Tribolium castaneum: one gene and its partner. The protein of the gene in region 1 interacts with the protein of each later gene in a biochemical or structural test. Links are inferred from orthologs where the notes say so. Each region holds a gene or a part of one and is shown in the gene's direction. Other genes may lie near its edges.

The links. The genes of interacting proteins can lie anywhere in the genome.
Region 2: the proteins of Arl2 (region 1) and Tbcd form a complex in vitro, tested with the Homo sapiens proteins (2 studies listed by BioGRID and IntAct). The link is inferred for Tribolium castaneum from reciprocal best matches to the Homo sapiens genes ARL2 and TBCD.

The regions. Positions count from the first base shown.
Region 1 is NC_087396.1:14,850,565-14,853,689, forward strand, and holds Arl2 (ADP-ribosylation factor-like protein 2), read left to right. Parts: upstream 1-1,565; 5' UTR 1,566-1,662; coding exon 1,663-1,727; intron 1,728-1,813; coding exon 1,814-1,924; intron 1,925-1,971; coding exon 1,972-2,134; intron 2,135-2,179; coding exon 2,180-2,395; 3' UTR 2,396-2,457; downstream 2,458-3,125. Other genes in the region: uncharacterized protein LOC103313727, read right to left, coding at 1-71, 122-221; protein mothers against dpp, read right to left, coding at 2,458-3,125. UniProt on the Homo sapiens protein: Small GTP-binding protein which cycles between an inactive GDP-bound and an active GTP-bound form, and the rate of cycling is regulated by guanine nucleotide exchange factors (GEF) and GTPase-activating proteins (GAP).
Region 2 is NC_087400.1:8,034,208-8,038,873, reverse strand, and holds the start of Tbcd (tubulin-specific chaperone D), read left to right. Parts: upstream 1-1,667; 5' UTR 1,668-1,746; coding exon 1,747-2,109; intron 2,110-2,148; coding exon 2,149-2,417; intron 2,418-3,176; coding exon 3,177-4,017; intron 4,018-4,352; coding exon 4,353-4,622; intron 4,623-4,666.

The DNA.
Region 1 (3,125 bases):
CGGGTCGTCGTCACAGTAATGCGGAGGACATCCAGTGCAGCGTGGGCCCAGGCCCAAAAATGGGATGTGGACTGAAATTGAGAATATCAATCATCGAGGATTCTGTCCGAATGAGATTTACTTCTTCGCGATGAGCGTGAAATTGGAGCGTTGGCTAACGCCACACTTAGGATAAAACAGCTGGTTAAGATAAAAGCAAATATTTTTGTGAGGGTGGCCATTGTTGGACTAGATGGGCGACTTGTCTGGATGCAGTTTTAAATGGGTGTGTTATCGAAAAAGTTGTTAAAAATGCATCTAGATAGTGGCTATGGTCTTTAGTAATGGAATTTTTTACGAAGTGGAGGAGATTAGGTAGACGAGTTAATTGGGTAATAGGTAGTTGTTTGTTAAAACTATGGGATTGTTATTCAAAATCCAGCAATTACAAGAGACTAGTTAAAGCACTTAGTTTAATTTAAAACCGAGTTTGAAACCTATACAAAACATCTACGAAAATTATTGTCTTATTTTCACTAAAAGTAAATAAAACAAAGTTTAAAAAACCCGACACACCAAACCTTTATTTAAAAACACTAAAAGTAGGTAATTTACAAAATTACTTTTTTGTTTCTTATCTTTTCAGGAAAATATTTTGCTAATCAATCAAGAATCACATTTTTGTATTGTTTTATTATTCAAGATTGAGTACTTAATCAGTCAAATAATAATTGTGTAATCTGCTCAAGATACTTTCAGTACATCAGCATTATCTGCAGGGGCGGGTTTAGATTCGTTTACTGGATAATCCTAAAAATACAGTTATGGAATAAATGAAATTTCCAACAATAATTTTAGATAATAGTATTTTGCGAAATCATTTTTTGAAGCAAGTATACATATCTAACATAAAAATTTAGCTCTTTTGACAACAATTAGTTTAAGCAACCTATAGTTTAAGCACGATCATAGCTAAGAAGCTGTTAGACTTCGTTTAAATAAAAGAGTCAATCAAAATTGAAACACATGATTCAGAAAAAAAAACACTTCAGGCTTTTATAAAACAAATTGCATCATACGAATGAATGTTCGAGATTTGATTATTTACAAAATTTATAAAGATAACAAATCGTGGTAAAAAAATTAAGCGACTTTTGTTCATTATACGAATTAGTCGTATTATGTAAATATTTTGATCTATTACCACCAGGTAATTTTTTTTAAAACAAAATAGTTTTGCCTGATAAACGAGCCAATTTTTTGCTCAAAGTACCTACAGTGTATGCACAACGTCCACGCAGGATGGCTTTCAAAAATGATAGAAAGAAGCACATTTTTGTATTTTTTAATGATTGTATTACAAGTTTATTTGTTTATCTTTTTTGAAAAGGTTTTAATATCAAATCATTTTTATTATTCTTTTTTTTAACAAAGAGTCACTTCGAATTATGATTGGTGTTTTTTCTTGTTCGCTTCAGATGTGGCAACTTTTTTGCGAATAAACGGGGTTTTACTGTAGTTGAACAACAAACTTATGTAGGCAATCACCAAAACTCGTGTGTAAAATTACAACATACGTTCTGGCGGTAATGTGACGTTTCTGTCAGATGTCGAAAATCTCAAACGTCATAAAATAATAAGTCTTCGAATTTTTTTATTGTGTCTAATAATTTTTAATACAAAATGGGTTTTCTCACAGTTTTAAAGAAAATGAAGCAAAAAGAAAAAGAAATGCGAATTTTGATGCTGTATCCTTTTATCGTCCAGATCTAACCTCAAAAAACTCATTTTTTGTGCAAAACATCTCACTGTTTTTCTTAATTTTATAATTTAGAGGCTTAGATAACGCTGGGAAAACGACAATTTTGAAAAGGTTTAACGGGGAACCAATTGATACGATTTCACCTACTTTGGGGTTCAATATCAAAACCTTGGAACACAGAGGGTAGGTCTGCTATTCACACTCCGAATTTTCAAAATAAAGTGTTTTAGTTTTACTTTAAATTTGTGGGATGTCGGGGGTCAGAAATCACTACGCTCCTACTGGAGAAATTACTTTGAATGCACAGATGGTCTTATTTGGGTGGTGGACAGTGCTGATAAAAGACGTCTTGAGGACTGTAAAGCTGAGTTACACACTTTACTTCAAGAAGAGGTACATAAATTTGTATGAAACATGTTCGTACTACTTTTTTTTCAGAGATTAGCTGGCGCGACTCTTCTAGTTTTTGCAAACAAACAAGACCTTCCAGGGGCTTGCACCCCTGAAGAGTTGCGTGAAATTCTCGGACTGGATCAAATCAAAACCCACCATTGGCAAATAGCGAGATGTAGCGCTGTTACGGGCGAAAATCTTTTGAAAGGAATGGATTGGTTAATTGACGATATTGCAGCAAGAATTTTCACTTTGGATTAATTTATTCTGTATCAAAATATTTATCTTTTGTACAATATATTTAATAAAAAAGACATAAAATATTAATAGTGTAGTTTGTATGGCGCCCCCATTTGCGTCAAAGTCCTTTGGGTCCACTCCAGATGTCGCAGAAAGCGCACTTCAAGCCAACAAGGCTTCTCAGTAATCCCCCCAACTTCGTTACCCCAACCCTCCACAAAACTGATTCGAACGGTGCACACTTTAGCTAAGCTGTAAACAGCCTCCCAACCCTTTGCCACCTCCGCAGATAACATTTCGTGAAATTCGTCATCACGGAACAGTTTCATGTGTCTGCACCGAAACGGCGACAACTTACAAATAGTACCACCCGGGTAGTTTTTAAGCCGATTGTAAAACCGCGAATTGACGTAGAGATCCGAATCGGACCACAACTGCACGTAAATCTGCCCCTTAACATAGTGCAGAGTAATCCCTCTCCCAATCTGCTGCCTTGTATTTTTCACCGTCCACTCGCGTCCCGCATTTTCCTTCTCGAACAAATTAAACCTGTCGTTTCGCTGCGGTCCTCCTTGTAAGCAATGCACCCAAGCGGAGAGTCCTTGGCAAGGAAACGCGTCCCCAATTCGCGACCCCTTCTCGTAGTAATAAATCGTTGCCCAAACCGGGGACGCTAGAACTGGGTCCAAGGGTGGAAGCAGTCGGTGGTGTCTGTAATGACACGGGTTGAGGCAAATCTCCATTTGGTGGG
Region 2 (4,666 bases), on another chromosome or scaffold:
AAAATCGAACTAAATATTTTCAAATGCCAACACTTTATTTTTAATTATTTAAAAAAAATAGAGGGTGACCCAGGGTCACCCAGGGTTTTTTATTATTTGTAATATTGCTATATCGTTTTCACTTTCCGATAGATCGACTTAAAGTCCACAAACCAAAATTTTTTTTATTGTACACATGGTGTTGTATACAGAGTGGTGAATCAAAGTTACATTTTTTTTAAATCGAACACTCAATATTTTTTTGCATAATTGGAATCTACGTAAAAAAATAATGTAACTTTATAGAAACTATTATGGGTCTATCTTTGTTCGTTTCAAAATTATTCAACTTTTCGTTATAAAAAAAAATTTTTTTTAAAATCATTGCGAAATCGGCTATAAATATTTTTCGAAAAATTTGCAACGGAAAAACTCAGAATACCCTATAGTTTTAGTAATAGTCGACTTTTACTTGAAACATTTAGATAATGTACAGGTGTGCCAAAACGCAAAAAGTTGGATAACTCATTTTTTTTTCAAATTGAACACCATTAATTTTTTATACGTATGAATAGCTTTTTTATAAGCTTTCTAATGATATGCGGTTTGTTCAACAAATTTGAAACATTTCTTAGTGTTTTTTTTATTTTTTTATTTATTTTATTATAAATTCTTGATCAGCAAAATTCATTTATATATCAGGTAATAATTAGTTTGCTAATGTAATTAGTCACATTAGTACATATAAAAAATAAATTACCATTTGACTTATCAGATTCTAAGATAACAAATTTTCTTGTAAAAAAATCTTTTTTTTTCAAAAATCTCGAGAAATATTTTAAATTTGCTATGCAAACTGCATACCGTTAGAAAACTTATCAAAAATGCTATCAATACATGAAAAAAATACAGGTTGTTCCCTTTGAAAAAAATTAGTTATTTAACTTTTTGCGTTTTAGCACTCTGTATATTATCTACATGCTTTAACTAAAAGTCGTTTATTTGCTAAAACTACAAGATATTCTGAATTTAGCTTAGATACAGCCTAAATTAAAACTGACTAATGAATAAATGTAAGCATTAAAATGTGAAAAACTGGAAATATTCTACATTTTTTCCTCAATGGCTTACACATATTTTTTAAACTGTCCTTAAACATATTTCCTTGGAAATCTAAATACTAAATTAATAATTAGAAAAACTTTTACATATTGCGTCAACAAGAGCAAACACTGTTCCGTTTTAATTAAGTTCCGTGATTACTCTAATTTTTAAGCCTTGTGGAGATAAAACTTTGAATTATTTCCGTCCAATTCACAAATCCTCTCAGCTAAAAAATAGCTTTCTAATTTCGGATATAGTAATTATAACGTCAAACAATGAAGAAAAACAAACGAAATTAAAATTTGATAAGGTGAGAGATCACCCTTTAATTAAGTAACTCATAAACTCGCTAAATAATTAACGGATTCTTTCAAGCGTTGAAAAAAAATGTTAATATTTTATTGCCCTCATTTAACAATCATTTTTTCTAAGTTCCAAACATAAAAAAACAGTATTTTTAGCCACAAAATACACAGAAACAAAATGTACAAAAAAAGTGTCTTTTAATTGTGCTTTGAATAAATAATTAAAAAAAAAATCCAGGTTTTGCTAGCAACATGCGCCCATTGTCCTGCAACCAGTAAAACAGTAGTCGAAACTTAACCTCACAATTTCTAATTTTTCGTGACATCTGTAAACAAAAGACCTTTTTATCGCAAAAACATGTCAACAAGTGAAAAAAACAAGCCTTCAGATATGGAAGAGGAGCCTTTCGGTCTTGGCTGCGCCCTTGAATTGTTCGTCGAAGCGACCGAAGTTTCAGAAATGATAGACACCCTTAAATCCATTTATTCGGATAAAGCCCTCAATGAGAAGGCGTACGAGCGTTTTAGCTTCATCATTGGTCAGTATAAAGAACAGCCCCACTTGCTGGACCCCCATATTGACCACCTTTTGGAAAAATGTATCAATATCGTACGAGATGGGGGCTCCAGTATGGACTTGAAACACGAAGTTTTTAAGTATATGTTCGTGTTTGTTAACGTGAGGGGGTACAAAGTGATAGTCAGGCATCTTCCACATGAGGTAGGGGGGCCCTAGGCAGGCTTTAAATGAAGATTTCAGGTTTCAGATTTTGAAGCCGTTTTAAGACTTTTAGAATCACAAGACTGTGATGATTCAATCACTTGGACCACTAGATATGTACTATTGTTGTGGTTATCAATAATTGTCATGATTCCGTTTCACTTATCACGATTTGATGCAAATGATGAAAGCGAGAAAGAGAAGAAAACAGTGATGTGTAGGGTTTTGGACATTATCAAGAAATATATTGTGGTTCCTGATAAGTGCAGGGACGCTGCGGCTTATCTCTCGTCGCGTTTTATCACAAGGTAAGTGAAAAAAATTATAACTTCACTTTTTCAAATTTCCCGCCCTTTGTCTCTTAAGGCCTCCTTTCACGCTTTGCTTAACAAACAGATGGCGCTTGTTTACGACCACTACCTCACTTTTTCAAAAGTGCTTTCTGTCACTTAAAAAAACTCAGTTTTAATTTATTTTAATATTGATTTTGTCAAAAAAAAGTATATAATCCAGGAGATGAATTTCTTCGAACAGTTTTGGTTGATATTTTGGAACGAAATCCTGGGAGCTATCACACATTGCCCAGGTCTGTAATACTCTAAAATCTCATTTGGAAAAAAAATCGGGTTCTAAAGAATTAAATTTTGGAATTTAAATTATAAGAAAATTAAATTTGTGGCTTCTTATACCAACCAAGCAATTTTTCAGATTATTCTAGCTACTGTTTTTTAATCTGTTTTTGTCGAGTTGGGAAATAATGTAACTGGTTATGGCTCTAAGTACTATATTATATTTTTTTACAAAATATTAAAATAGTTTATGAATCCTGACTGAAATATGAAGATTTTTTGTGTTTTTTTGTATTTTTATCTAGTTTTCTTGTTCTTTTTTATTCATCTAAGAAATTCTAAAATTCTTGACAAACGTATAACTTTTTGCCTTTAATCTTTTTAATCATACGTAAAATACAAGTCACACTTAACTAAATTTGGTCTTCCAACTGTCACTTTCCCCTTTGTTTGGCCACAAGATGGCGCTTCTTGTGACACAGCCGTCCCTGTTTTTAGAAATGACGTCAAACAGGAGCACCTATTGTCTTACATCGAGTGGTCAATGGTTGAAAGTACCTCCTCCGAGAGTACTATTTTCACAAAACAAGGAACTTTAGCCTCAATCGCCATGATTTTGAAAACCGGAAAACGCGACGATTTACTCCCTCATGCCCGTCCCCTCCTCCAATGGATAATCCGTGACGAAATAAAACATAATTCCGGTACCAACGTCCAAAAACTTGTCTATAAAATCGTCCAAAGAATAGGTTTGACGTTTCTACCTCCCAAAGTGGCCGCTTGGCGCTACAAACGCGGCAATCGTTCATTGGCTGCGAATTTAAGTGGGGGTGATGGTACCACCTCCTCTCACGACACGCAAGAACCCCTCCCAGAAGATAATATTGAGGTTCCTGATGAAGTCGAGGAGGTTATAGACCAGTTAATTAACGGTTTGAGGAGTTGTGATGGGATTGTGCGATGGTCGGCTGCAAAGGGAGTAGGCCGGGTAACCGGTCGGTTACCTCAAGAACTGGCCGATGAAGTGGTCGGTTCGGTTTTGGAGTTGTTTAGTCCGAGAGAGGGGGATGGGGCGTGGCATGGCGGCTGTTTGGCATTGGCTGAATTGGGGAGGAGGGGCTTGTTGCTACCGAAACGGTTACCGGAGGTGGTACCGGTTGTACTTAAGGCGTTGGTCTATGATGAACCGAGAGGATATTCCTCTGTAGGATCACATATAAGGGATGCAGCGTGTTATGTGTGTTGGGCCTTTGCAAGGGCCTATGATAAGGATGTTTTAAAACCTTTTGTTAATCAGATAGCTGCGAATTTGTTGATCGTCGCTTGTTTCGACAGAGAGGTAAGGATCTAAGCTACTGGATTCTATCAATTTATCGTACTGTGGTTTTGACAATGATAGAAAATCAAACTATTTTTTTTTCTTTTTTTTGCGCTCACTCACTTGTCTGGTGCTATCATCTGTTTTTGATAGTGACAGCGGCTTTTTTCTTTTATATTACTGAAAATCAATGAATTTCCGCTCAGTCTTTCATATTTTGTCTTTTTTTTTGGCATTTATCATGTTTTGACAATGTAAAAAGTCGCGGTTTAGTGTCAAAAACGGAGGGTTTTTGACTTTGACAAAATGCAGTTGTACTTTTGGGTTATCTTCTTTGTGATTGGTCCAAACTTCAGATCAATTGTCGACGAGCGGCCTCTGCCGCCTTTCAAGAAAACGTCGGACGTCAAGGAACATTCCCGTACGGAATTGACATTTTGACAGTTGCTGACTTTTTCACTGTCAGTGTGCGAAACAACGCCTACTTGACCATAAGTCCGTACATCGCCCAATTCGGCGAATACACCATCCCAATGATCGACCATCTAGTTGGCCGAAAAGTCGACCACTGGGATTGCGTCATTCGGGAATTGACAGCCAAAGCTTTGCATAATTTGACACCAAAAGTAAGATTTTGTCATCTCCTTCAATTGTTTGATTGTTTGATCGA